Oryzias latipes: one gene and its partners. The protein of the gene in region 6 purifies or fractionates together with the protein of the main gene of each other region. This does not show direct contact. Links are inferred from orthologs where the notes say so. Each region holds a gene or a part of one and is shown on either strand. Other genes may lie near its edges. The genes, in order: ppme1, ppp2ca, ecsit, cdca4, ppp2cb and ppp2r2d.

Region 1 (4,652 bases), on a different chromosome or scaffold from region 6:
AGTCATCCAGCTTTTCCTTGGTGTTCTGCTACTGTTGTATTATTTAAAACAGTTATAAACCCTCCAAAAATGTTATGGAAACTTCAAAACAGAATCAAGTTTACCTTCCACAACATCAATGACACACAGACCCAGCAGTGATGGTACATAATTGGCCGTGGCTGTATGGACCGCGATGGCCCCGCCCATACTGTGTCCAATAATCAGGATTGGAGGTGGATTCTCGCCATAGAGCACCTCCACCACTTTACCGACATCCCTTACAACAAACAAATAAGAAAATAAAAGGTGTCTACCGTTTAAAAACACAGCAGAGCAAATAAATTCATTCCATCCATCTTCCTGGGCTTATCCGGGACCGGGTCGCGGGGGCAGCAGTCTAAAAAGAGATGCCCAGACCTCCCTCGCCCCAGCCAGAAATTCATTCATTTTACTAATTTGGCACGATTACATAAATGTACTAAAAATATAACGAGTTAAAGAAGAAGAAACGGGATTAACAAGTGGAGGTGACATCTGAAGAGTAGCGTCAAAAAAGATAAATGCTACAAAAAGGATTTTTTAAAATAAAGACGACATACACAAAAATTGTGTTGTTGTTTTGCTTTTGCATTTCTGTACTTAATTCCTTACACTTTATTTCATTTTGAAAATCTTTCATTTTCTTGACAGTGTCCAACAATATTACTCCAAATCAGCAGCAGTCTAGCAGGTGGCAACAATTGGTTCCCTTTTTCATTTACTAGTTTACAAGAAATACATAATTACAAGAAAAACAGATTAACTTGGTACATTACTAACTCTGAAAGAAAAATACAATTGCATAAAAAAACCCAAAACGTATCTTTTTTTTTTGGTAGTTTAATCACTCCATATATAGCCAGTTTATAGGATTTCATATATTTCTTGGACATAAGCCAGCAATAAACAAACAAACAAACAAACTATAAACCCACTTCAGACAAAAAGAGATAGTATTTACAAAACGGTATCTTACTTTGCCATGGTATCTGCCGACAAGTCTTCAGGATTTTTTACTTTGGTGTCACCTGCAGGTTTAAAGACGAGTTTCAGAATTTCTTGTTACGCTTACCAAACAAAAAAAAAAAAGCAAAGCATTGGTTCTAAATTTATATATAAACACATTTGTGTAGAGTAAAAAAAAAAAAAAAAGTTAAAATTCCTCACAATGTATTGCAGAGAATGAGAATGTTAGTCTTTCTGGAGAATATACTACAGGGTGGATAAAATTGTTAGTTAAAAATCACCTGAAAGGATTCCCAAGCTTTCTCATCTTACCGTGACAATCTCAGATTAGTTTTCTTTTTTTTTTTAAAGAGTAATGATTGGAAAACTTATTCCATCATTTTTGCAGAAAAATGTCAGTTCTACAGAAATTATTTTACATTTAAAAAATGGGAAAAAGTCATTTGTTCCAAAGCCTACAGAGTATTTTCCTTACCATGAGCTCGCAAGTCCATGGCAACCACCCTACAGGTAATCATGTTGGATATGACTGACTGTAGAGACATATACAGAGGTCATTTCAATCTGTATTCTGGGCAGTCTTGCAACACACATATTGTTATTATTACTCGTTATATTGGTGTACGATTACTGTTTAAGAATAGGGGATTATGCAGTGGTAATGATACCCACAGTAAACACTGCCCAAGAAAGTGCAGAATGGCCTCCTCCATGGAGCAGCAACAGCACAGGACCAAGTGAACCACTGCAGTAAATTCTGAAAATGTGTTGTGCGGTCAAGAAAACAAAACGCAAGGCTGTAAGCACTACATTAAAACGCTAAGCAAAACTAAAACCTAGACCAGGAGTCTGCAATGTGGCTCCGGAGCCTCATGTTGCACAAAAAAGATGCTGTTGCGTTGTTTAAAACCTTTTTAGGAGAACATTAGTTGCAATAGGATGACCCTGTTCGGCACAGGAAGTCTAATTTTGAAAGGAAGTCATACAAGCTTCTGTCAAAAGTAAGAAAGAAAAAGAAAAAATTTCACACTTTGAGAAAAAGCTACTCTCACTTTATATTTTTGCTCTATATTCAAGCCAAAAATAAAGTAGTATCAACTTTTCCTAAAGGGCAAAATAAGACTTTGTGATTCCAATGAGATTTTGATCAGCAAGAAACAGGCCCAAACGGCTCCTTTACTGCTTAAGGTTGCAGATCCCTGGCCTAGACGAAGAATTTGAAAAGCATTTGAATCTTAATTCCATGATATGCGTAAATCAAAACAACAAAAAATCGTCACGGCATTCTTGTGAAACAGAGATTTTGGGAAGGATATATCTTTGCCATTTTCATTTTCCACTTCAACATCCTCCATGGTTTCAAAGTACTGACTCCAAAGCAGTGGAGTAAAATCTTTCTTCCGGCCAGGTCTATAAAAAAATATAAATACAAATAAAAATGAGGGGGAAATCATTATGTACAATATACATACTATCTGTACCTCCAAACTGTGGTTTGACTCCATATTACCCATTAGTAAATTACTGTTTCTATTCTGCTGGCTGACACACAGCTGCCCCCTTTAGAGGCACGACTTATGCAGAAAACGAACCACTTTAACGAAGTTAATGAAAGAGTCATCTTCATAAGAATGTAATTACACTTTTGGATTAAATCAGTAAAACTGTATTGTAAACTAGATTTTGTTTATCCTTTGGTGGGCGTAACGGGGGTCTCCTGGATCAGAACATAACAAGTACGTATATATATTCTGATTTTTTTCTTAAAGAAAACGATAAGCTCTACACAGCATCAGCTAGACTTTGTTAACTCAAAGGAGTTATATGTATAAAAAAACCTCTGCAGCAGCTGCAGAAGGCGGGTCGTGCCTACTCTATAAGCGGTAACTAGGCTAGCCTAAATGCTAACTAAATATTGGTTTTCCTTCAGCTGTGTCTGGCTTTTCGGCGAGCTATTATTCAGACAAAAGTTCACAGTATGGCTTTGACAAGAGGTATGAAGAATAACACGCAAATGTAGATATAAAAAAACCCTTTAACGTTTTATGAACTGTTAGCTTCTCACCCCATCTTGATTTTAGAGCCAGACTGAAATCCACCAGGACCAGCCATTGGAGGTCTGGAGGCCAGCAGGTTTAAATGCAACTGTTTCTCCATGCTGTGAGGAAAGAGCGCTCTGTCAAGAGATGTCTAATATAGCCTTCCCTTTCTTTTGCTGCATAAGATAGTTTCTGACACTTGTACTGACGTTAACCAAACATTTGATGAATCGCTATAGCATACAGGCTAACGGCTTCTTTGTATTTTCCGTCTTTCTTCTTGTTCTGCGTAGTTTTGAGGTGGTTTTCTACTCATTTTTTGAAAGTGCTGCCACCTAGCGGTAAAAAAAGTACATTCATATCTCCAACGAATGAACAAGTAATCATCAAAGCTTTTTCTGTGCTTTATAAAATATTCATTTTTCTCAATGATTAAAATCGTGTCTTAAAAACAACAAGTTGTCGTCCATTAGACTGGTAATCGGCTGAAAAGTCTTTTCTCTTCTGCTCCCTCCCTTTTACACTGTAAGGCATGTTAATATTAAACGCTAGTCCCTCACTCATTACAGTGATGATGTGATGTGTCACAATTTGTTTATACGCATTTTCACAACATATTTAACAGTATTTTTTTTCTGAATCACAAAAATTGAACTTTTGTCTTTCCTTCTCTCACTCTTTACTGAGCTGATAATATTTAGGGATGTAACTATTAATCGATTTATACTCCTACAATCCAACCAGATCGATATGTTAAGGGAAGTTGTTAACTGAATCAAATAAAATCACCTGTAGCATCATAACATTGTTTCAAAATGAAATAATGCCATTTTAATCAACGTTGGAAAATGCAGAAATACAGTCCATCATTCCACTTTGAAATTAGGAAAGACATATGACCGTACAGTATGATAGAATGTTCTAATGAGGTTCTGTTTGTATTATTTTGATGTGGAGTAACAATAGTGGGCTGAACTTCAGGAAACTAAAATGTGAATGGATTTACCTTAAATTCTTGTTTACTTGTTTGTTTGTTCTTATATTTAATTTACACTTGATTATCTTGCAAGAAATACAAGGAATCTGGAAAACTTCACCTGCACTGTTTAGTATCCAGGTATTTATCACTCAGTCACACTGGTTAAGTTTTTTGTTAAAGATTCCCTGGATCCATTTTAGGCCATTGACTTAGATCAAATCGGACCGTTTAAAATTAACCAATATCGACTATGAATCACATCACCAACCACAAATTATTATTTGAATTGAATGATTGTAAAAATAAATTGTTCTTTTAACAAACCTTGTCTTGGACTGCATGTAAAGTAAATAAATGTGCAGAACGGCAGCTCTATCTGGAGAACATAAAGCTGCTTGGAACTCATTGAGCCATAAATCACCAAAAACTGCAAGATAGTTGAATTCTTTGTCTGTGTTTGCAATAAACACGTCAGTATGTTATTGTAGTGAAGTTATTACATTGATACCTTAGAATTTATAACATAGACCAAATTTTAAATGTGAAAAAAAGGTGTGGGGGTATACAGAAAGAAGTTTTCTTAGGAGATGTTACTTTTAAACTTTAGAAAGTGTCACGTGACATTACATAAAGGTGTTTGCCATTGA
Region 2 (4,575 bases), on a different chromosome or scaffold from region 6:
AGAAAAAGGTTTACAGCTGGAAAACATCAAACCAAACTGGAACAAGCTGCTTTCAGTCAAGCCCAGATGCCATGAAGCTCCAGATGCTAACGTTCAACAGACCTGAGCTGAAAGAAAAAACTCCATCTGGCTTTGACTTCAACCAGTAGAATATTTGAGAAAAGATAAGTTTAAAAGAAATCTCATTGGGTTCAAAGAAATAGCACTTTCACTCTACTCTCAGGACGAATTTTTCCTCTAAACCTAGAGACATTCAGAGCTAAAGATCGGCACAGAGATCGGGGTTAAGCCGCAGCTCAGACTGCTATAGTGTGCAGAATCTGTTGACCAGCTAATAAATAAAGCACAAGCATATGTAGACTTCACATCCAGCAAATGTCAACATCAGGGTTAGGGGTGGATAGGCTGCTACTTTATTAGCAAAGTCAGCAGCTTCTCAGCCTGGAAATGGTTTGCTAGCACTAGCACTCCACTTTGCAGGATGTATGACCCATCAAACAACCCAGGGACAAAAGGAAAGCATGCATGCATCCTTTCTAAAGATGAACAATAATTAACTGGTTGCCTCCTAACCATTATCACTACTTAAATGGAGAAAACCATTAGAACTCTGAAAATACTCTTCATTCATTATGTTAATTAAAGACCCACTATGATGAAGATCCTGTTCTTTGGTGCTTTAACATGTTCTTGTTCTGTGATGATGGAGGACATATATAAAGAAAATGTTGCTCAGAATTGCATTTCTGGGTTTTTCTTTTGTCAAATGATTGTGAATGAGGAAATGATCATCGGCACACAACCTCCCTGCTCTGCTCCGTTCTGATGCATCCACTTGTAGACAACTAGATCCACGAACGTCTTTGTTTTCCTCGTCTGGGCTGGCATTCACCCCAAAACTGTACAGCTGGGTTGCTCAAATACTGCTCAACCATTTTTGTTGCACTTGTAATGTTAAGTTAGGGGTGTGAGTGGCTGTTAGCAAGCAGGAGAGCATGTAAACAGTTGTTTGATAGGAAGTGGGGGCGGGGTTGCTCTGTGCCAACAGTCACAACTGAGGCAATTTTCTAATGCCACACTGCACAAACTATGTACGCCTCACCTAATGCCATAATTATTAGTAAAAAGAACCCTGGGAACGATTTTACAAAAGATCAACAGATGGGCGGAAGCGGACCTTTAAACTGCATCCACTGCAGTGAAGCGCTTTCAATGTTTATTTCTGCACCCAAAAGCCAGACTGGAAGCTAAAGAACCCTAAATGAATAAGAGCTTAAAACGGGATACAATATAAATGTGCTCTAAACTTTATATTCAGTGAAGATAAAGGTTAACAACTAAAAGAAGCTGACTAAACCATTTACGTCCAAACAGCCTGAGTTGACCAGAAAGATGCCTGATTAAAATGATGGTTTTACTGCTACAGAGTGGGGTTACTTTCAGAGCAGTCCCAAAATCGGGGGGCTTATTTTAGCCCCCGGGATGGGGGGTGGGGGGTAAGTAAAGCAGACTGGGGCTTTTTGCTGCAACAGCTGCCTTAGGGAGATGCTGCAGTCACCGTGGCGCCCGCGAGGAGAGCAGGGAGGGGAGCGCCGCTTCCAACGGGTCTGCACCCCGGTAAATCCCACGAGCTGCCCTCCGAGCGTTATTTCCTCCCCCCGCGAATGAGCAGACCGCTCAAAACCATCACAGAGTGGGGTTTGGCAGTGAGGGTCTAATATCGCGCGGTGAAATCTACACTCCTTCTACTATAGACGCCATCTTAAGAATCTCTGAAAAAAGCCACAAGGAGGAGGAGGAGGCGCGAGACCAGACGTTAACAGAATTTGGGGTTTAAAATAAACTCGTCTTACCTTTTCACACAACGTTTTCACCTGTCCTTCGGTTAGCTGTTTGCATTCGTTGAGCTGCTCGATCCACTGATCGAGTTCTTTCGTGAACGCCTTTTCTTCCATTTCTGCTGTTTTTTCTTCACCGACAGGCGCCGCGGCGGTTCACCAATGAGACTCCGACTTCCCTGAAGCTTACAAAACGTTGACCGCAGGAGATGGTTTCACTCCGACCGACAGAGGCATGGACCTCCAGCTGCCAGATCACTATGAATTGACAGAAGAGGGGCGGGAGACAGCTCTGTTTGGCGATCCACCCTGAAAAATGGTTCATGTGAAGACGTCAGTGGTCATACGCTGCATTTCCGGCGAAGATCTTCAAGATAAAAGCACCACGCACCAGACTTACCCTGTATATAATATTTCAACTAATTAGTGGTTCATCTGTTTTTGTTTCCTCAACACCTATTCTTTTTCCTCTATCAAATTTTTTTTCAAGATATTTATTTAGAAAAATCACGGTCAAATTAAAACAAACACTGTTTCTTGTTTCATTTCATTTTTAAAATGCTTATTAAATTAATTTGCTCTGAACAAAGTAAATGTAATATCGATTTATCAAATGTATTACTAAATTTCATCTGAAGTACCTTCTTGTTTATTACTTTCCTGTTGGTTTTTGCAAATGTAACTTAATTTTCTTAATGAACGATTTGCCTTTGTTAACTTTATTTTCTTTTGGGAAAAGGTTTTTGCATAACTAAACAAAATAGCAATTTGAATAAAAATAGTTACATAAAACTAATAATTTAATAGTGTAAAATCATTGCAGTAATTAAGCTGAAACTGTAAATAAACTAAATCAATTAAGCATCTTTGGGGAAAATCAGCCCTGATAACAATTTATTTCCAAATTAGCAGTAGATATACTACTATTCTTTTTAAATATCGACATTTTTTTTTCTTCAAAATCCACACAGTTGCTTAAAACAAATTTTACATTGTGTGAAATATCTAAGTAATTTTAGTAAAGAACATCCATAGACGGAGAACAGACACATTCTTAATCATTTCTTTTGTTTTAATTCTTTTAATTTTTTCAAATCTGACATACAGCATCTGAGTCCATTGCACAAGTTTTTCAAGTTGGAAAATGGTCATTCTGTAGAAAATGTGCAAGTACCACAATAAATATTAAACAATAAGTACTAAATTGTACCTGAGTGCAACCCTTATATGAAATTGTTCCGCTATTCATCCCTAATGTTAACTTGTGAAAAAGGTGGATGTTGTGTATGTTGAGCCAGCTACATTTTAGGTTTTTATTTGTGTTTTTGCTGGATTAAATTGTTATAGCTGACACAAAAAATGAGGGTCTGATCATCTGCAGTGATGTTTGGCAGCTAAAAAAAACATTCATTCGTTCATTCATTCATTCATTCATTCATTCATTCATTCATTCATTCATTCATTCATTCATTCATTCATTCATTCATTCATCTTCTTAACCGTTTATTCCCTTTCGGGGTCACGGGGTTGCTGGAGCCTATCCCGGCCACTTGGGCGTAGGCAAGGGAAACCCTGAACTGGTCGCCAGTCTGTCGCAGGGTGGAATATCCTCAATCAAACATCCATTTACTCTCACACTCACACCTATGGACAATTTAGAGTTGCCAATCAACCTATGTAGCATGTGTTTGGACGGTGGGAGGAAGCCGGAGATCCTGGAGAGAACCCACGCATACACAGGGAGAACATGCAAACTCCACACAGAAAGGCCCCCATTGATGTTCAAGTTCCAAGTCCCCCAGCCAGGACTTGAACCGGGGGCCTTCTTGCTGTGAGGCAAGAGCGCTAACCACTGCGCCACCGTGCAGCCCGCTAAAAAAAAAAAAAAAAAAAAAAAAAAAAAAAAAAAAAAATTGTGGTTATTGTGCTTTTACTTTGAAAAACGCACTTCCGTTCTTGTTTGGTTGCTTGTCTCACATTTGACTCAGCAGAAAATGGAGTTCGATCCAAACAGAGACCCGGACGGATGACGACAGCGCTTCCTCTGCTGCCTCATTGGCTGTTTTTTTTAAAGAATGATTTCTCAACCTGCATTACAGAGAATACATCATCCTCCACAAAAAACATGAACTTTGTAGTTTGGCCATGATGTCACGGGTTCATGAGCAAGGCAGAAGCAAACAGAACGCAAACGTACCTGTTCTAAAAATGATGTAATCCGGTTCTAGCTTAAAACATGAAAACCCTATTTAAAAAATTAAAATAAAGTCCAAACGAGTTATGGTTTGAGGTTGTTTTGTTTTTTTAACGATTTTATTACTCTTGTATAGTAAAATAATAAATGACTTGTCAAAAACCTGCTTAACTGACTAACATAGACCTTTTCTTTACATTTTTTTACTACAATATGACTATTAGAGGGGCTATATCAGAATTGATATTCTATGTTTTGTTTGGTTCTTTTCTTTTTTTAATGTTTATTCATTTTTGTTTTTATAAGTCTTGAGTTCAGGTTTTTATTTTGAAAGAACTCCTGCAAATATCATATATTATATAGTTTTAATGGAGTTTTATATATTTATAATATATAGTTTTACTTCATGTTTTTTTTTAATTCAGATTGATCCGAGACTTACTTCTTTGCCTTCAGCTGGGAAGCTGAAGCTCACATTACTGATTAATGTACAAAAAATGTAAAGTTTGCAGTCGTCTTGCTTTTTCCTGGTTTAGCAGTGTA
Region 3 (4,618 bases), on a different chromosome or scaffold from region 6:
CACAAAGGTCAGGAGACTCTTTAGTCTCCTTCAGAGTTACGGTCTAGACATAAAGAAATTATTATTCAAATCAGTCCAAATCATTTTATTGCAATCTCTAGATAATAGAAAAATATGATTTAACACTCAGAAAAATTAGTTTTATTATTCAATTTTAAGGATGATATTTTAAAATTCAATTCAATGAGGAAACCTTTAACTGAATTGACAGCAGAACTCCTGTCACTACCGTTGTATAAAAACAGAGGGAGATCCAATTAAATCTGTTAAAACATATTCATGTGGACAAACATCATATTCTAATTTTATTCTAAACTGAGTCTTTTGCACCTTTTACACTAGTTCTTTGTCACTGTAATCAAAAGTAACAATACAAATACAAGAACCTCACATAGAATACAATCCATTTGCTTAAAAATAGCAAAACAAACATTTAATTTGAAATAATTCTACTTTTTTTTTCCTTTTATGAACGTTTGATTGGAACCATTTGTAACTTGATTGACATATTTGTATTGTGAAAAATCATTGATCATTAAAAATGAATCGCTGGAAAGAAGCGATTCCTGTTTTCAGGAGGTAAAACACAGACGGGACCTTTGATCTCGGACCTGTCACTCACACAGACGGGACCTTTGATCTCGGACCTGTCACTCAGGGCCCGTCAGGAGGGGGTGGGCCGGAACTCACCCGGTGCTGCTGTGGGTTGCTCCGCGCGGCGCGCGGACCGTGGGGTTCTGGCTGGAGGACCCGCGCCGTCTGCCACGAGCATCGGAGCAGCCGCAGATCCTGCAGCCGCTGTAGGCAGCGGGAAACCTTCATGGTGGAGCCATGAAACCCACCGTCCAGATGGTAGATCCACACAGACAGACAGACAGCGACGGCTATCGAAAGAAAGACGGACTCAGGGAGGTCTGAGCGCGTGCCAGGATCACAAGCACCAAAATGTCTCCCACTAGTTATCAGTGACTCCCGGAAGAGATTAAAAAATGAAGCAAAGTGACAAGAAAACACTCAAAACACACCTGAAAACGAGTCTCCTTCAAAACAACCACACGGCGGCAGCTTACCGGGGAACCAACGTCCTCTGTCCGGCACCTTTTTCCTTCCCCCTCACAACAGAGAAAAACAGCAACAATCGTTCCGCAGGTCCGGAGAAGAAAGTTCCGCGCTGTGCTGCCCGGTGATTTTAGACAGAGAAAATGTAAATATTTGTTTACGTAAATACTAACCGTTCTTCCTAACATAAAATACGTCTTAGCAGCAGCAGGAAAAGGCAGAGAGGTGCAGAGATTCAAACCCCAAACCCTCCTGTCAAGGCTGGTGGCAAGTGTTCAACCAGGTGGATTTTAATGTGACAAAAGCTCAGCAAGAGGGAAGATAAATAAATGTCATTCATAAAGTAATAGTGCCCCCCCCCAAAGCTAGTCAGGAGAGGCCTCCAAAGTTTAGTAGAGAAGAATTTAACTTAGAAAAAAGTGGAAAGCCGTTAAAAAAACAGGTTTGCTTTGATAGTTTTGAGGGAAGTTTTATCAAACGATAATTAATGCAATAATCGTTGAGCACTAAATGTTTGAGTAATATTAATTTCTGGAATGTTGTCATGTCTTTTTGTCAGAAGTTACAAACTAGAATATGATAAATATGTAAAAACAAGTTAAATAAAGCACAATAGGGGTGGGTTTATGTTCATTAGCTTTCTCTTACTCCTCAAATAATTAAACTCTTTTGGAAAATAAATTTTAATTTAATAGGTTTAATATGTCGTGTATTGTTTATATAAGTGCAAATATTTATGATTAAGAGTAACTATAAAGGAATATATGTTTGCAACTGTTTTTATATGTTTTACTTTTTAGATTTTTTAATCACTTCGTGACAAATCAGCTTGAGTTTGATATACTTGATCTATACATAAATGTCTTTTGTTTGTCTTTTCGGTTTTGATCGCTTGAAATAAATCAAATCCAAACGGCCTTTTTATTTGTGTATTGGGCCTTTATTTTGGAAGGCTGGACCAGAGAAATGGTTCATAGAATTTAATCTGTTTTTTAAACCAAGAAACTGTGATGTAACTATTGTCAGAAGAGCCCAAAAATGGGATTTTTATTCATTTCTCCTTGATGTGAAATCTGTCTGATGCATTCAGATATTATCTGATCCTCCTGTCTGTTTACCCAGCTGCAGGGAAGGACAATGGGGGGGAGGGGGGTAGTCGGATTGTGTTTTGGGAGTTTGGTTAAGTCTGGTGAGGCTGAACGTGGTCATGTGATCCTCCCAGCGGCGGACATCAAACGGGATCAGCAGCAGCAGATGCTTTATTCAGCAACATGCAGTTCCGGATGACGCCACGCGGGGGCGACAGAAACAGCGGCGCTGAGGCAGCAGCAGGCATCGCCGCGCTGCATGAGCTGAAAACTCCACACTAACATTTTTCGCTCTGGCTGTCAGCGTCCGGGGGGGTTTCTGGGGCTGGGGGGCTGCAGCACTGACATGACAGCGGTATGTCCCGCTGATGGATCCCTGTGAGTTCTGCTGTCAGTTTGGGAGTCGGTAATCCGGTTGCAGGGCTCGCGGGGTTCCTCCTGGCGCGTGAAGCGCGCGGCTGTGAGCGGCATTCACGTTTCCGGTGTGCTGCAGCGCCCGCAGTTGACTGGAGCCTTTGTGAGACACTCCCGCGTGAGCATGGAAAACACACCTTAAAGTATAAAAACACAAACCTTTGGCCGCACCGCGCCTCTCAACCGGATCATGGACTCCTCCACCAACAGTCTGGGTGAGTAGTTCTGCTCCGAACCAGCCGAACTTTAGCGCCAGCCCCGCTGCTTCTGACTGACTGGTTCCGATCCACTGCTCCTGCGGGGAGCAGTCATCCTGGAGTTTTTTTGTAAATGTCCGGTTGGTGGAGGACTTCAGAACATTTGTTTGGGTTCTGTTCACAACTTTCTCTTTCCGTTTCTTGGCTCCGGTTCGGTTCTGACAGTAGTTGGTTTGTCTTCAGCCCGCTTTTCACCTGCAAACGGCCGCGTAAAGCTCCGCGTCGAGCGAGGCGCAGAGATGTGTGCCGCGGGCGCAGCGCCGTGCGTGGGTGTGCGGGGCTGAAGTCATATTTGCGGTTTGGAAGCAGCGCTTTATCTCATGACCTGAAGGCGGTTCTGAGGAATGCCTTCACTTTCGGATCAGCAAACACGGCCCGGATGACAGCAGCGGGTCGGGCTCCGCTCCACGGGACAGACAGAAGCGGCTTTTGTTGCACATCTGGGGCCTCTGCGGGGCCTGCGGGGCCCTTCTGTGCTGATGCCTTAAACGTCTGGGAACGTCTCGTGCGCTCAGATTCCCGCAGCTTTCATTTGGAGGCTCTTAGATTCAGCTGGAGGCGCTTCTTGTTTCCGTTTTTGCATCAATGAGCTGCAGCTCCTGCAGAACTCTGGCTGAAGGTGTCAGGAGCAGCGGAGACCCCACCTGAGGATGTGGACTTCCCCTATAGGCCTCATTCTGTCCATCACGTCTGTCATCCTCCTCCGTTTAGACCAGAGTACTGACTGTACAACAGAAATAACGTCAAAATACCTCGATGGGTGTGTACTCCAATCCACTCATCTTCTTCTCTTCCTTTGGGTGTTTCCCTTCAGGGTCTCCACAGCCAATCAGCTTCCTCTGTCTGTCTCCTGCATCCTCTACCAGCAGCTACCTTCATGTCTTCCTTCATCCAGAGTCCTCCTCTCTGGTCTTCCTCTAGACTCAGCATCCTTCAGTCTGTCCTCTGGACATGTCCCAACCATCTCAGTCTTACCTCTAACGCAGGGGTCCCCAGACTTTTCAGAGACGTTTCCATCCTCTGATGGGGGCCGTGGTCAGTTTGAAACAGAGAAAGTGTGACAGTCGCAGGGGGGCCTAAATGTAAACTGAGAGCCACACAGAACCAAATGTTAACAAGCCGATCTGTTACTAAATAATCCTCTCTGGGTTCTTTACATAAAAAGTCAGTAAATATAAAGTAACAGTATTTTAGATTTTAGAAAATCAATAATAACCACATAAATCTCTGTAGTTGTTCACAGAAATAGAGCTTCTGTTGTCCGTGCACAATCTCAGGTTCAACTTCAGTTGTGGAGCAGAATCTCCTAAATGACTCATGTGATCAGTCTCTTTAGGTTTTTGTGTTCTTTCCTTATAATCCAGTCTTGGATGTTTCCAGGAGGCTCGCCTATAAAACCCTGTCTGCTCTCTCTGATCAACTTCCTAAGTTCAATGCAGTAGCAACATTTTTGGCTTGGCTCACATTTCAATTCAAATAAGATAACTTTATTTATCCCACAATGGAGAAATCTTAATGGGAAAGCTTTATTGACATTTTCCATGCTTCCATGAGTCTCAATCACGTGGCCAGCCTAAAAAAATAATAATGCAAAAGAAAAAAAAAGGGGGGGGGGGGTCTCTCTCTGAGACCCTTTTCAGTGGGCCGGGTCAAATGGGCCGGGCCGTAGTTTGGGGACCCCTGCTCTAACGTGTGCTGATTCCAGCTCAGACGAGGAAAGAAGATGTCATCATCAGCAAAAGCAGATCATCAGAATCAGAATCACCATTCCAAGACTAGAATCAATTACAGCATCTAAAC
Region 4 (4,850 bases), on a different chromosome or scaffold from region 6:
CTAAATGGGGTTTTTCTGCAGCCAACACTTTGAAGTTCAGCATTTTGGGGTTAAATGTCAGACTGGTCCTGTTGAATAAAATAGAGCTTTTGCGTTTTTTTTGTTAAGGACTGAGCCGTGGCAGCAGGCGGTGTGTCTGTTCACATTCAGTCACCACACGTTTACCCCGTTTTAACCACAGTTTGCCGTTTTCTCAGTGATTTCACATTTAAAAGATCTAAAAAATATATATATGAATTTGATCCAAGGTTTTAGTAGACCTTGGATCAAATTTAGATTTTATGGGTAAAAAAAAAGATCTGAAATTCAAAGTGTTACTGACATAACTGACTTACAAATACAAAATGTTCAGTTCCTGTATTTATAAAAAAAAACTGGTTGTACAACTGACTGTATAAGAGAACTGGACCGAGCAGCCCCTCCCCCTCTGGCATTCCAAACAGGAAGTACCTGCTGGCTCCAAGAAGCCAAAATCCCACAGACTTCCAGAGGGAAACAGCTGTTACTCCGTCATACTATTGGTCAGAAGAACCGCTCTGGCTCTGATACCTTTTTTAAAAAAAATGTTCCTAATAATCCTCAATTTTTCTACATGATATTTTTTCCTTTGTTTAAGTTATTCAAATTATAAACTGACAGATAAGATTCCTCAGTGGCTACCCACATTCAGATTTCGTATGAATTCAAGTGGTAGGGGTGTAGCTTCCAACGAGCTGACTCCTGATTGGTGAGAGTGATTACTATAGAAACGTCGACTCAGACCGACCGATCACTGCTCACCGACAACATCTGGTTCCAACATGGTGATGTCTGTATTGCCAAAATTGACAGAATTGACTTTATTTGGCTATAAGAAAAGCGTTTTCTGTGGATGATGTCACACTCACTCAGTCCAGTTTTTGGAGGTCAATGGCTCGTCCTGAACGTGACAATGGTATATATATAATAATATATATATATATAATATATATATATAAGTATGAAATTCGGGCCTATCCACCAGTTTTTTTTTTCAATGAAAGCTGATTTGCTGTGGCGACCCCTAATGGGATGTGCCAAAAGGTGAACTAATGAAAATAGTTAGTCATCTCATTAAAGAAATGGACCTGGTGTAGCATGGGTGACACACGGGAGTTAGGCTTACCCAATTGGTTTTAAAGGGTCTATGTCCTTCTTTTCTAAAGCCTTTCAGAGTAAACTATATCCATATTTATTATCATATATTACCTTTGGGACACTATTTTCACAGCTTATTTTCCTACTAGGATGTAAGACGACTCGATCACAGAGGCTCCGCCTTTCTCTCCCTGTGGGTGCCACCCATTTTATGACATCATCCTAGTGCTGGCTTCAGCAGAGCGTCAAACATCTGAACTTTTCCAAAGATGGATGTTTATAAAAAAAATGAAATTGTTTAGCCGATCACCACTAGCTCCACTGAGAAAGTGGGTGTGTCTTTTAGCCTGGAGGCGGAGCTGGCAGCTCAGACTCTTCCTGGAAGGGGCGGGTCCTCACTTTGTGATGTCACAATGTGAGGACCCACTTGTTTTCATGGATTGGGAGGGGCCGGGGCTCAGAGATCCGGTTTTTAGAGGAATACTCAGAAATGAGTGACTGGATCAAAAAGCCACTTTAGGGATGTTTTTGTGAGGAATGAACATTAAAATACACTAAAAAGCATTCATTTGGCATGATATAAGCCCTTTAAATGGTGGGAAAATAAAACATTTAAATTAACAACACATTTGATAATTATAGTAATTGCCAAATAAATCGATTTGTTCTTAGTTTATTTCACTTCCTAGTAATGTAAAACAAAATGTGTCTAGACTTATGTTTTCAACGTTTACATTTATAACATGTCGACTGTTTTTAGAAGATTATTTGCTAATCAAGTTCTTCCCTTTGCACAAGAAGGTTCCAATAATGCGGTTGTATTGATTTTTACATTTGTTTGTCTGCTATAAATGCTCAATTGTTCTAAGTGGACGTGTATATATAATGAAACCTCCACATAAGGATGTAATCTTGTTTTTCATGATATATTATTGCACTTCGTCTTTTATTTAACCGGGAAATGCTGCCATGCGCCACACGGTGTGGAGACAGATGTGGACAGACACCCGGAAATGCCTCCTTTCACGTCCAGAAACGGAGAAAACGTGTCGTTTTTGGAGGTGATTTTCATGTAAACAGTGAAGACTTAGAGCTGGGGCCAAACAAAATGCAGCCGCGCTTTACGTCAATGGCTGCTACCGGGGCCCATCCCCCACCGCGGAGAGAAAAGGCAGCGGCACTTTTACAGCCCGCGCCGCCTAATCAATTAAAACCACCGTCCGCGCGCGCCCCACAAAGCGGTCGGTTCCCCTCCGTCAACCACGCTCTGGTACCGACCGCCAAGTACGGCGGTGGGAGTGGTGGGGTAAAGAGCCGCCGGCGACGCCGCCGCACGCTTTGTCTTCCAGCGGCCGACAATGAGGCCATTTTGCGCTGGCGGCTAACAGCTAGCCGGCTAGCCGCGGCGCTACTCTGAATGCGGTCTGTGGACTGGCGCCGGATAACCGTCCCCCAATGGTCACAAGCGGGCCTTTCGCGGCGGAATCGAACATATGGCATTTTCTCTGTCCCTGTTCGGTCCTCTTTATAACGTGTAAACTAGCGAGCGGTAAGCTAGTACGCTCCGAACGCCCACCCTCCCTCCCTCCGCGGTCCTTCCTCCTTTCTCAAAAACAGGAGTTTTCGCGGCGGCCGTGAACTAAACGTCCCCGACGGTCCCTGCGAGGCCCGGCTGTAAAAACACGGCGGCCGCACTCACCTCGTTTCTGCCTTATTTTACCTGTCTCGGTCATAGGATCGACGACAGGGAGAGCGGAGATCGGGTTCAGATGAGATCATTCATGCCACGGCTTCAAAACTGAAGCGGCTCCGTCCTGCTGCTGCGGAGCGGAGCGGAGGAAGGGAGGGGGAGGGGACCCAGCCAGCCATATGCCGGCCTGCGCCGCGCTCATCATCTGTCTGCCCCGCTCCGAAACACGCAAAAACACGCAATACGCGGCGGGACGGCGAAACACGTTCACTAAAACGACGAGGCGCACGCACGCCCAAGGGGCGCAAAACGACATTTGTGTAAAGAACGTTGGCAGAAGGATGAAAAGTGTTTAAAAGACGTGATCCATATGTGTATGTTTAAAAAACATTTGACACAATAACAACGTTCATGCTCTATTTTTTGTGATTTAAGAACATCTGTTACTAGGGGGAGTAGATTCACTTTAATAACGATTCGATTATTTGTGGTTGACAATATCAATATCGGTTCAGTTTGATCGATCCGATTCTCTGATCTAAAGTGGATCCAGATCATCTTCATCCAAACTTCCAGCAGTGAGACTCAGACAGACATTTCTGCGACTGAACAGTGAAGTTTTCCAGATTCTTGGATTTCTTCCAGATCATCAAGTTTAAATGAAATATGTGTCCATACAAACAAGTAAACTAGAATGAATGTCAAATCCATTTACATTCTAGTTTCCTAAAGTTCAGCCCACTCCCAGCCAGCAAGGCCAAGTGGGCCCTATATGATTTAAAAGTGGGCAGAAAATGTGGCCCCACCTGTGTTTGCCCACGTTGGCTTCAGTGGACAGCTCAGTTGCCCACCGGGCAACTGGCTAGTGTAGCAGAAGGGGAAGCGGCCGATGAGGCTGGCAGGACACCACAAACAGGAAAGGTCTTTGAACCCTACGCTCCGATCAAGATCGCTGATAGAAACCCCACGTTGTTCGATCCCACGGGACGTGGATTGCGTTCGGAGGGCAGCGGGTGTCAGGGCCTCTACTCATTGCGTCTCTTAAGGCCCGTACACACCGGGACGAATATTCGCCAGACGTTATTCGCCAGCGTTTTTCGCCACGTCTTTTGTGTTCACACCCAGGCGATTTTCGCTGACGATGAGCCGAGCAAACATGCAATTTCATTCCCTGACATTAGATGGCGCTTAATGTAAACAGAAATACTCCTGTACACAAGGTGGCGCTGCGCAGCTTCACTCTTCTTAAAGTCGCTTTTCATACAGAAGAAGAGAGCAAGTATTTACGCGCTTGTCAGAATAATACAAGGAAAACATGAATATTTCAAGCACCAGTTGCTCCAACTAGTGCTTGGTTCGGGGATATTTTAGAATGTCCGTCATTATTTCTTCGCGGCAGTGTAGACGCTACTTGGCGTCTATCTTCTTCGCTGGTATGTGTGCTTAGAAAGGCAGTTTTGTGTTTGAGTGCCCCCAAGTTGTGTTTTACTGTGACTTCAGAAGCTCCAGAGACGTGTGCAAAAGCGCCATTCTCATTGGTCGAATAGATTTCGACGCGACGCGTCAAACCAAAAAAACGAACCCAAGGCGTTTTTTAAAAAGTGACGCTTTGACGCGTGGCGTTTTTTCGCGTCGGTGTGCACACTCACATTGGTGCCCTTTGTTTAGTCACAAGGCGTTAAACGTCGGCGAATATCGCGCGCGAAATTCGTCCCGGTGTGAACAGGCATTTAGGAGCTGTCTGCGTTTGGCAGGAGATGAAGCTCCAGGTGGCTTTCTCTCTTGGTCCAAGCTGCAGCGACAGGGCGAGGATTTTTACCGCTGAGTGGAGAAGCGGCTACCAGGACTTTGTCAGACGTTGGAACTGACAGGACATGGAAGCGGTTGGAGAGGGTGAGGCCTTCACGGTCTGAGGCTTCCTTCCTTCTTGCAACCACAGCTCTGAACAGCAGTGGACGGTGTCCCAGTACCAATTTTTTTTTTTTGTACTCACGCAACCCTGTGGTTGCATTACATTCATTCACTCATTCACATCATTTCATTA
Region 5 (4,828 bases), on a different chromosome or scaffold from region 6:
ATCAACCGTGCACATGGGATCAGAAAACCTTTTTCCGTTCACAAGGTCACACTAAATCATTTGGGCATGCGCAGTAGTGTTGAAAATACCAGAAAAGTAAATGAGTCCCACAGTAAACATCCTTGCTGTCATATAAATCTACGCAGCAGGTCGGTCCAAAGCTTCTATGGAGCAAAACACCATCTATGTATGACGTCAAACCAGAGCAGTAGTGACACACGATCGGAATGAACTGTTTACATGAACAACGATCGAATCCACAATCGGCATAACCCACCTATCTCGATCGGAAAGAAATTTTGATCCGAACAAGTCAGAGTATTACGAACGGCGTGTTTACATGACGCATTTTTCTTCCGATCAGGCGTTCTTTCCGATTACTTTTGTCCATGTAAATTCAGCTAGTGAATCCCTGTGATGTCATCCAGGTGTCAGTGAATCCCTGTGATGTCATCCAGGTGTCAGTGAATCCCTGTGATGTCATCCAGGTGTCAGTGAACCCCTGTGATGTCATCCAGGTGTCAGTGAACCCCTGTGATGTCATCCAGGTGTCAGTGAACCCCTGTGATGTCATCCAGGTGTCAGTGAACCCCTGTGATGTCATCCAGGTTTGTCAGTTTGTTTGGCACAGAGCAGACGGACAGCAGCGGTTTGTCAATAGGACATTTTATTTCACATGTCTGTTGTCTTCATTGAAATTACAGTAATATAGTAGAGATGACTGCTGGCTGCAGCCTTAACAGCTGAAACTCAGAGCTGTTCTACTGAAGCAAACTCTCCTACGTTTCCTTTAAACTGATCTGGCAACAGAAAGAAAGCACAGATGGATGAAGGTGGAGACGGGCGGGGATATAGTGAGCTCTAAAAAACAAAAACAGTTGTTGGAAAAGGATCAAAATATGGCACATTTGGTCCACGTCGGTACTTTTTTATTCTCCTGTTTTCAAACATGTCAGATGGAGAAGATGAAGGTTAACATGCGGCTGAAGCTCAGCTTTAGTGACATCACCGCTCTGTTGAATCTGCTCAATGCATCTTCTCCATTCAAAATGAGAGGGGTGGGGCAGGGGCGGGGCTTGGTGAATGACTTATGGGGGACAATAGGACATTCACAGGAAGTAGTCAGGAGTGCGTCTAGTCACATGAGGCTCGCCGCGGCGGGGGGCGGGGTCAAACTGCAGGCTGTAGAGAGAGGATGAAAGTAAAGGTGCGATTCAGAGACACGTTGGATGAAATGATGATTGGACTCTCTAGGAATGTTCCATCCAGAGACACCCGGGGGGGTGGGACTTACAAAGAGTACTTCAGGGTGTCGTCCAGTTCCATGATGGCTGCCTGGTTGCCGCAGCGATAGCAGTAGTTGGGGGCGCTGAAGATGGTCACCACGTTCTTGTCGTGACCCCAGTTGTAGCCCTGCAGACAGAGGGGTGGGGGTGCATGATCACAAACGGCCCATCCATCCTAACAGCCGGGGGTGTGTGTGTGTGTATGAGGAGTCTCACCTCCATGACCAGCTGATGGGCGCGGGACACCAGAGTTAGGCCGTTGGCGTGGTTGAAGGTTTCAGAAATGTCCTGTCCAAAAGTGTAGCCAGCACCTCTGGGAGAGATGCCCCACCCACCGCGGTCATCCGGGTCAGACCACAGCAGGTCGCACATGGGGCCCTGGGGGGTGGGGGGAGTCAGATTAACACCAACCTGTGCAGCTCTTACCTTCTGCTCTGCAGCAGAGGAGGACGCTGCTGTCGGGGCTGTCCCGCTCCGACCACGTGATCGCAAACCGGAGTTGATCGATCGGTTGCAGACTGGATTGAAATCAGACGTGTCTCCCGATCGGACATAACCCTAACCCGATTATACCATCATTTCAAGCTTATTATTCCAGATAAATACTCTACTAGAAGTCTGCATTTCATCAACGAATCACCACAATTTTTCACAGCTTCGAGTTCCGGGTCAATGACTCTTAATAAAATGTTTTCAACTGACGGCAAGTGTCACGTAAACAACGACCTACGAAAGGATTTTAAGAGAAAAACCATCAGGATTGAAAACGGCGCTGAGATTTTTTCCTGTTCCGATTAAAAATGTTCAACAATTCTGAGGATACTAAAGCTTCAGTCCCCAAACTTTCTGCCATGATTATCAGCAGTTTTGACTAGTTTATAGTTAACTATTCGTACTAGATAGCTGCAGGATTTACTTAATCGTAGAAGTGTTGAATGATAAAAGGAGGAGAATAAAAGAAAAAATGGATCTGTTCATTAATTTGTTTTTTTTTTTGTTTTTTTTTAAAGTACTTCACAAAAGTTTTGGATCAGGACTCTGTATCGGCACAAACTCCAAATCAAAGGATTGGAATGACGTAAGGCCCAAAACACTTGAGCGGGACGTCCAGTGAGGAGCGTGTACCTCATGCGGGACCTCCTGCAGGCGGTCCAGAGCTCGTATGTGGTCCAGAGTGTCTATGGAGGGAGACAGGCCGCCGTGGAGACAGAAAATCTGAAAGGACAGCAAAGGACAGTGTCTGTAGAGCTCCTGCTTCCATGGCCTGACGGTCTGGGTGTAGCGGCTCTCACCTGCCCGTCCACCAGCGCAGTGAGCGGCAGGTAGTCAAACAGGTCTGTGAAGTACTTCCAGACGTTGGCGTTGCCGTATTTCCGCAGACACTCGTCATAGAATCCGTAGACCTGTGTGATCTGACGGGACTCGTGGTTCCCTCGCAGTATAGTGATCCTCTCTGGGAATCGAACCTGCGCATGAAACCTCACATGAACACTGCCAGCTGCCAGCAGGTTCCACAGCATCACACATCGCACACCTCCGGAGAAACCGAGGAAAGACCTCTGCGATCTGGTTAACGAGACTAAAGTCCTCCAACGACAACCACAAAGCTGCACGCAGAGGCGGGACCTCTGACTCCGCCTTTACAGCAAACTTTGAGGAGGTGGGCGGAGTTACAGCCACTGAAAAGACCGACTTCAAGATTAATTTCCTTATTCAGGAGAAGTGTCTGCGGTCCAAAACGGACAACCATTAAGATTAAAAACAGGTAACCTTTAAGAACATTTCTTCTTAAAACAGCCGCCAACTCGCAGAGAAAACACAAACACACAGACACACACGGACACATAGAAACACGGAAACCTTGAAACGAACACAGAAACACAAACACACACGGAAACATAGAAACACACAGAAAGGAACACACAACACTGCCGCTGCCGCTCTGCCACACAAACACACCTCTTCCAACTGCAGGTACGGCCTCCCATATTACCATTTGGCAGAAACCTGACAGTTGTGCAGGTGTGACCACAGAAGACTGCTGACAACAATCAGATGCAGTCCCACCTCCTCAGGCGCTCCCACTCTCAGCAGGAAGGTCTGCTAACGAGGGTTACCTTTAACGTGACGAGCAGCGTGACCGTCTCCACAGAGTAGTAGCCCCTGTCCACGTAGTCTCCCATGAACAGGTAGTTGGTGTCTGGAGACTTCCCTCCGATCTTAAAGAGCTCCATCAGGTCATGGAACTGACCGTGAACGTCGCCGCACACGGTCACCGGGCATCGCACCTGAGGAGACCGTCATCATCAAGTCATGTTGCATTTATCCGTCATGTATTAAAATCCGCTACGTGAAAACAAAGTCTGACTAAACCGTGATCACATGTAGATGACACACGGAACAGCTCGTTAGCATAGCATGGTAGCATTTAGCATCATTGCAGGGTAGCATGTAGCATGGTAGCATTTAGCATCATAGCATGGTAGCATTTAGCATGGTAGCATTTATTATCATAGCACGGTAGCATTTAGTGTCATAGCACGGTAACATTTAGCGTCATAGCATGGTAGCATTTAGCATGGTAGCATTTAGTATCATAGCATGGTAGCATTTAGCATCATAGCATGGTAGCATTTAGTATCATAACATGGTAGCATTTAGTATCATAGCATGGTAGCATTTAGCATCATAGCATGGTAGCATTTAGTATCATAGCATGGTAGCATATAGCATGGTAGCATTTAGTATCATAGCATGGTAGCATTTAGTATCATAGCATGGTAGCATTTAGTATCATAGCATGGTAGCATTTAGTATCATAGCATGGTAGCATTTAGTATCATAGCATGGTAGCATTTAGTATCATAGCATGGTAGCATTTAGCATCATACCATGGTAGCATTTAGTATCATAGCATGGTAGCATTTAGCATTATAGCATGGTAGCATTTAGCATTATAGCATGGTAGCATTTAGTATCATAGCATGGTAGCATTTAGTATCATAGCATGGTAGCATATAGCATGGTAGCATTTAGTATCATAGCATGGTAGCATCAGTGTGTAACGACCCGCTGTCTCCAAATCCACCCTTTTTATCAACGTTCTGTTGCTGCTGTGAATCCAGCAGTTTTGTCCTCCAGGTCGTCCTGGATTCTGGTACAAATCCTCACATGTTCTGCTGCTTCATCTCTTTCAACTGAAGCTACACGGAGGAAACTAGCAGAAGTCATGTGACAGGAGCACGTCTGGCGGTGCGTGTTAGTGTTTTTTTCTGAGCAGGGTTAGTAGCTCCTCTTTGCTCGCTGCTGCTTTCACATCTGCGCTTCGCGAGAGACCGGCGGACTGACTTAGCAGAGCTGGGAACATCAAACCTCCATTCTCTAAACATAAATGGTCTAAAACAACAATATGAGCGTAATCCTTAAAATTAATTGTTTGCACATGATCAGAATTCGGTTTAGCGAGCTGGAACTCACCTCCTGAACGTTGGACTCCTTGGTCAGAATCTCCTTGGCCTGAAGAGGAGAAAGAAGAAGAGCGT
Region 6 (4,852 bases):
GTACCTGATACGTCTCCACTGGCCTGTTCTCCATGTTCAGGTCCCAAACCTTGACGGAGAGGTAGTCACGTGTCATCATGTAGCGTCCGCTGTGACTGAACTTCACGTCTGAGATGGAGGAGATGATCTCAGAGAAAAAGGATCGGCTGCTTGGATCCTCAGGTTCCTCAAAGACTGAAATGCAAAAAAAAAACCCAGAAACAACCGTTAAAAAACAAAAAAACAAAGGTTTTGATTTTTTTTTTAAATTTACAGATAAAATCCAACAGATATTTACACTTGGAGTGTCTATCGCAGAGTGCTGCCTCTCGCATGTCACACAGGCGGATGGTGCCTTTGCTACTACTGTACACAAATACATTGCATTGGTGTGGATGGCACTCGGCAGCTGTGATTACTTCTGTCAGCTCTTCCATGTTGGCAGGCTTGATGTCTACAATATCTGAGAACAAGCCGTTAAGGAACTGATGGTCTCAGGATTGTGGAACAGAATCACACACAAAAAAAACAAAAAACCATCAAATGAAAACTTTCTAGAGATATTTAAAAGAAAAGGATACTAAAACTTCTGTCTGTGATTTCCAAGTGCCATAGATTTATTCTTAGGTCATCTGCGGAGAGGTAAGTTTCGTGATCGCTATTTACAGAAATGGAATTAATGTGATAGGTGTGCGCGTTTGCAAAGATCCTCCGTGGGCTTGCTTCTACCATGAGATCCATTGGCATCAGCACAGGTACCTGAGACACAAAACCTGACAAGTTAACAACAAAGTACTTCCAAAATGAATGAAACGATGAAATGGTGGGATTTTACGTACCCGTAAAGAGGTGATTCTAAAAGGATCTCGGACTCGCCCATCTTCATCTTTCAGGTTGTAACCCTCCGCCCGTTTATCTCTTTCACTAATTTTCCACAATTTGATAGTTTTATCTGAGAGAGAAAAAAAACAGGTCAGAAAGCCTCAAAATACACAGAAATTATGGAGAAAAAAAACCCTCCTACCATTTGTTGAAAGTAGAAAGTGAGCAGCATTTTGTTGGGGTAGCCATCTTATTTTATTAATTTTTTCCTCAATTTCTAAACTTTTCAAATAGTCAAATTCTGGCTCGTGACTCTGAAAAGTGCTATAGACGTTGTACTCCCCACGCAAGTGTGGACGATTCTTAGACTGAAAGAGGAAGAAAGAGTGGGGAAAATGAAATGACGACGTAGACTTGTGCGAACAATGATCGTAAGCGTGGTGTTTTGTGAAGAAACCCTACCTCCTGTTCATGCTGAAAAATCACTACTCTCCCGCCTTTGTCTCCAGTTGCAAGTAATTCTCCAGAATAGTTGAACTCAACGGTTGAGATGATGTCCGCTGAAAAACAGACACGAGTTACAGCAAATCTGACTAAAATATCTGTTTTTTTAGCTGTTATCTTTTAGTTTTTAGTAGAAAATAATGTAGAAAATATGAGTCAAACTGGACTAACTACAACTGGTAAAATGCATTAATACCAATCTATTTACAATAAAGTTTTAGCACCAAATAATACGTAATTCCTACATTTGTGAGTATACTCATGCAAATACAAATCATGTGATGTAAGCATTTTTTGCTAAAACGTTTAATGCAGAAAACATAAGTAATTAGAAATAGCTTAGATCTGTTATGGTTTAGTTTCATCTCACAAAACAACTGTAGATATTAGCTTAAATCATTTAGGTTTGAGCTCAGTTTGAAAAGCGTCCAACTGCTGCTTTGCTTTGACAAAAATAAAAGCCTTTAAGAACAAAATGTAACTCTGCATTTGTGAGACTGGAAATACAACTTGACGCTTCACATCAGTGGAATGAAAATTATGTAACATCTTCAACAGAAGAACGTTGATATTTGCTTGTATTTATGCACAACAAAACACAAAAACAGATGGAAATTCATTATGAATTGCTTGGACGCACTTTAACCCTAACTGTGACCCTAAAATATGTGCGAATTGACAGTTTCCCCACCTGAAAGCAAAAAGACTTTCTTTGCTTTTAAAAAACGCTTAAAAGTAACATTTAAAACGTGCAAAAATAATTTAATTAGCATTAATCGTAGGCATAAAAAAAAGGTACATGGGCGTGTGACTGAAATGCTATATTTCTGTAAATATACATCTAATTTTTAGTGAAGAGGAGCATAATTTTGACCCTAACACCTGGATAGTTTTTTATTTATTTAGTGAACATGAAAGAACATAGCTTAACATTTTGTAAATTTAAATAAATACATAAAATACTTTAGTAATTTCAGCCGGAAGGGACAGATGAATAACAATAAATAAAAGGTAAAATAAAATATCTTGTATATTTTTAGTTTTGAACAACATTTTCCAAACTTTATATATTTAAATAAAACGTCGACAACACAACCTCGATACGCACACGTTCGACAAACAAACCATGTTGCCTCCACAATTTATAGACGCAGTACATTGACGTCATGGGCACGGTCGCTCCCCTTTAATAGTTTAGCAAGCACCTAGCATTCAGCTTGTTAGCAACACACGGCGATTAAAAGGGCGTTTTCCCAGGTGGCTCGCAAACAGACATTTATCGACACCAGCTGCCCCGCTCGTACAACATGTGCGTCCATCCCTCAAAAAGTCACACACGGCGCATCACACGTGAAGACCCACACAGCCCCATCATCCTGCTAGCTTGACCACCGTTATGGGGGTTAGCATAACCGCCTAGCTAGCGTAAGCTACTTACCTTCCGCAACATCTTCATCTATCGCTCCTTTTACTTGAGAGAAACACCACTGGAAATCATTTCCTCCTGCAACTCCTGCGAAAGAACACAGCGGTAGTTAGCAGCTGTAAAACGCCGCGTTTGGCGGTGAAGATGGCCCGACAGTGACACAGTTTGACAACTTAGCGCTGCCGCTGCGCTGGTGGTGAGCTAACTCTCAGATTCAGGCCATCACACCAACCAAGAGAGCCGGATTCTTCTGCTCCCTTCAAAAGTAGCTTACCCGCCATTGCTTCATTTAGCAGCTCTTGTTGTACGAAACTTCCAAGACCTGATCGACCAATGCGGCTTGCTCAGAGAAAACAGATAACATCCACAATCAGTGTGCAGACTCGGCTCCAGATCTGTCAAGACCACGGAAATTATCCGTGATTTTTTTTTCTTCCAAAATGGCGCACGGTACATGGAGAAATGACGTCATGCACACATGCCACATCCTGGCTGCATCCATCCTCTCCCGTGCATCACCTCACAACATCTGCATTTAGCCTTTTTTTTCCCTTTCAGTGCTGCGCTTTATTACACGGATACACACACTAATGTGCGCAAATAATATCTTTAAGTTCAGATCCACGTTTTTTTTTCCAGGTTTATGAATAAAATTTAGATCATTTATATCACTTTCAATCAGTTTTTACTTATTGTAACAGTTTAAGTTTTAATAAATGGAAAACAAATCTGCATTTACAGAAAGTCTTTCTCAATTGGTCATAGGCAAGATTAACCTGACTATATATAAATAAGTTTGGTAACATAAAAGTTTAAGGAAAAATAAAATAAAATATTGACAAAAATACATTAAAAAACTTTTGATCTTTCAAAGAAACTATCGTGTCATTTTTTTACAAGATGTTTTATTTTGCATGACAACTTTGAGGACTACCGCGTTGATTGGACGATCCATCAGTGACATCTAGTGGCAAAAAAGGTGAAAAGCCAATTGACATTACCTGTAAGGACCACAAATGCTGCATTTTGTGGAACTGAACCAATGCAAGTGCCCTGTCTGTCTCAGTTTGATATGGATTTCTTTCTCTCATAATTCAAAGTGATGTGAAGTTTCCATAGTTTAAGCATAAACAAGCCATTTGCTTAAAAGGGCTACTGGAGGCTTTAACAGCTTGCCACTCAGATGTCTTCTTAAAATTAAATGCATAGCCTTTCTTATTGCATGTTTTGCACTTTGTATGAAATACTGAATTATAATAGACGTATATAGTTATGAGTAAATGGAACAAAATAAAAAAAACAACTGAACATATGAATTAAAGATATGTATTTGTTAAAATTGAAATTTTATAGAAAGGGAAAGAACAAAAAAAGGTAAATGGCGTAAATTTATGTAGTGCTCTCTTTATTACCTTCTTAGAAGGCCCAAAGTGTTTGACAGTCACAGTCCCTTTCACCCATTCACACACACTCACACACTGATGGCGGCTTCGCTGCTGAAATCTGGTGCCATCCTAATACCTCCTCGAACAATGTGAGGTTCTGTGCCTTGCTCAAGAGCACTTTGATACAATGGGAACCCGATTTCTTTTAATAAGAGGTTGACCACTCTATCTCTGCACCACGGCCGCCTCGACTTTTCAAAATGTGAACAAATCTGTTTGCCCTTATAATTAATAAGTGAATATAATAAAGTTGAACACACTCATACAATAGTTCACTATTTGATTAGAAATGTATTCAATAAAACTATAGGAATTTCTTTTTAGTAAAGCTAACCTTTAATTTTATAGAACACTTCTTGAAAGGCTTTACCTTTCTATTTGATGAAAACACTTATAGAGTACATTTGGAGCGCTGTGTAAAAAGAAAACATAAAAAGGGGAAGTTGGTCTGAAAATCCAACACTTGACCTTATGGTCATCATTTCTCGTTTCCATCTCCTGTTGAAAATTTCTAACACAATAACAGCTCAACAGAAACTGCAGAATGTGATTAATCCTTGTGCTATCTTAGATGACCCCACCCTTACTTTGACGTGTTCTCCCTACCACGATAAAGGTGGATAAAGGGGGAAAGATTTAACGTAATCCATGGACACCAGTGAAGATCACAAATCAT

What was found.
Region 1: the proteins of ppp2r2d (region 6) and ppme1 purify together in Homo sapiens (affinity purification with mass spectrometry; 4 studies listed by BioGRID and IntAct, counting the BioPlex papers as one, with this or other methods). This does not show direct contact. The link is inferred for Oryzias latipes from reciprocal best matches to the Homo sapiens genes PPP2R2D and PPME1.
Region 2: the proteins of ppp2r2d (region 6) and ppp2ca purify together in Homo sapiens (affinity purification with mass spectrometry; 8 studies listed by BioGRID and IntAct, counting the BioPlex papers as one, with this or other methods). This does not show direct contact. The link is inferred for Oryzias latipes from reciprocal best matches to the Homo sapiens genes PPP2R2D and PPP2CA.
Region 3: the proteins of ppp2r2d (region 6) and ecsit purify together in Homo sapiens (affinity purification with mass spectrometry; 3 studies listed by BioGRID and IntAct, counting the BioPlex papers as one, with this or other methods). This does not show direct contact. The link is inferred for Oryzias latipes from reciprocal best matches to the Homo sapiens genes PPP2R2D and ECSIT.
Region 4: the proteins of ppp2r2d (region 6) and cdca4 purify together in Homo sapiens (affinity purification with mass spectrometry; 3 studies listed by BioGRID and IntAct, counting the BioPlex papers as one, with this or other methods). This does not show direct contact. The link is inferred for Oryzias latipes from reciprocal best matches to the Homo sapiens genes PPP2R2D and CDCA4.
Region 5: the proteins of ppp2r2d (region 6) and ppp2cb purify together in Homo sapiens (affinity purification with mass spectrometry; 6 studies listed by BioGRID and IntAct, counting the BioPlex papers as one, with this or other methods). This does not show direct contact. The link is inferred for Oryzias latipes from reciprocal best matches to the Homo sapiens genes PPP2R2D and PPP2CB.

Annotation. Positions count from the first base shown.
Region 1 is NC_019872.2:16,425,293-16,429,944, reverse strand, and holds the start of ppme1 (protein phosphatase methylesterase 1), read right to left. Parts: upstream 3,328-4,652; 5' UTR 3,145-3,327; coding exon 3,053-3,144; intron 2,398-3,052; coding exon 2,304-2,397; intron 1,753-2,303; coding exon 1,660-1,752; intron 1,521-1,659; coding exon 1,463-1,520; intron 1,050-1,462; coding exon 998-1,049; intron 260-997; coding exon 105-259; intron 1-104. UniProt on the Homo sapiens protein: Demethylates proteins that have been reversibly carboxymethylated. Demethylates PPP2CB (in vitro) and PPP2CA. Binding to PPP2CA displaces the manganese ion and inactivates the enzyme.
Region 2 is NC_019872.2:4,039,615-4,044,189, reverse strand, and holds the start of ppp2ca (serine/threonine-protein phosphatase 2A catalytic subunit alpha isoform), read right to left. Parts: upstream 2,988-4,575; 5' UTR 1,956-2,987; coding exon 1,854-1,955; intron 1-1,853. UniProt on the Homo sapiens protein: Catalytic subunit of protein phosphatase 2A (PP2A), a serine/threonine phosphatase involved in the regulation of a wide variety of enzymes, signal transduction pathways, and cellular events.
Region 3 is NC_019876.2:29,030,121-29,034,738, forward strand, and holds the start of ecsit (evolutionarily conserved signaling intermediate in Toll pathway, mitochondrial), read right to left. Parts: upstream 2,998-4,618; 5' UTR 2,777-2,997; coding exon of another isoform or gene 2,752-2,776; 5' UTR 2,721-2,751; exon of another isoform or gene 2,211-2,720; intron 1,121-2,210; exon of another isoform or gene 1,113-1,120; 5' UTR 1,026-1,112; intron 885-1,025; 5' UTR 823-884; coding exon 691-822; intron 1-690. Other genes in the region: eml3 (echinoderm microtubule-associated protein-like 3), read left to right, coding at 2,752-2,776.
Region 4 is NC_019880.2:21,571,832-21,576,681, forward strand, and holds the start of cdca4 (cell division cycle-associated protein 4), read right to left. Parts: upstream 3,059-4,850; 5' UTR 2,816-3,058; intron 427-2,815; exon of another isoform or gene 1-426. UniProt on the Homo sapiens protein: May participate in the regulation of cell proliferation through the E2F/RB pathway. May be involved in molecular regulation of hematopoietic stem cells and progenitor cell lineage commitment and differentiation.
Region 5 is NC_019867.2:193,315-198,142, reverse strand, and holds the end of ppp2cb (serine/threonine-protein phosphatase 2A catalytic subunit beta isoform), read right to left. Parts: intron 4,803-4,828; coding exon 4,764-4,802; intron 3,575-4,763; coding exon 3,404-3,574; intron 2,753-3,403; coding exon 2,579-2,752; intron 2,502-2,578; coding exon 2,412-2,501; intron 1,665-2,411; coding exon 1,503-1,664; intron 1,414-1,502; coding exon 1,295-1,413; intron 1,183-1,294; coding exon 1,110-1,182; 3' UTR 650-1,109; downstream 1-649.
Region 6 is NC_019873.2:19,563,301-19,568,152, reverse strand, and holds the start of ppp2r2d (serine/threonine-protein phosphatase 2A 55 kDa regulatory subunit B delta isoform), read right to left. Parts: upstream 3,190-4,852; 5' UTR 3,013-3,189; coding exon 3,006-3,012; intron 2,819-3,005; coding exon 2,744-2,818; intron 1,362-2,743; coding exon 1,264-1,361; intron 1,170-1,263; coding exon 1,004-1,169; intron 932-1,003; coding exon 819-931; intron 739-818; coding exon 561-738; intron 443-560; coding exon 278-442; intron 175-277; coding exon 5-174; intron 1-4. UniProt on the Homo sapiens protein: Substrate-recognition subunit of protein phosphatase 2A (PP2A) that plays a key role in cell cycle by controlling mitosis entry and exit. Involved in chromosome clustering during late mitosis by mediating dephosphorylation of MKI67.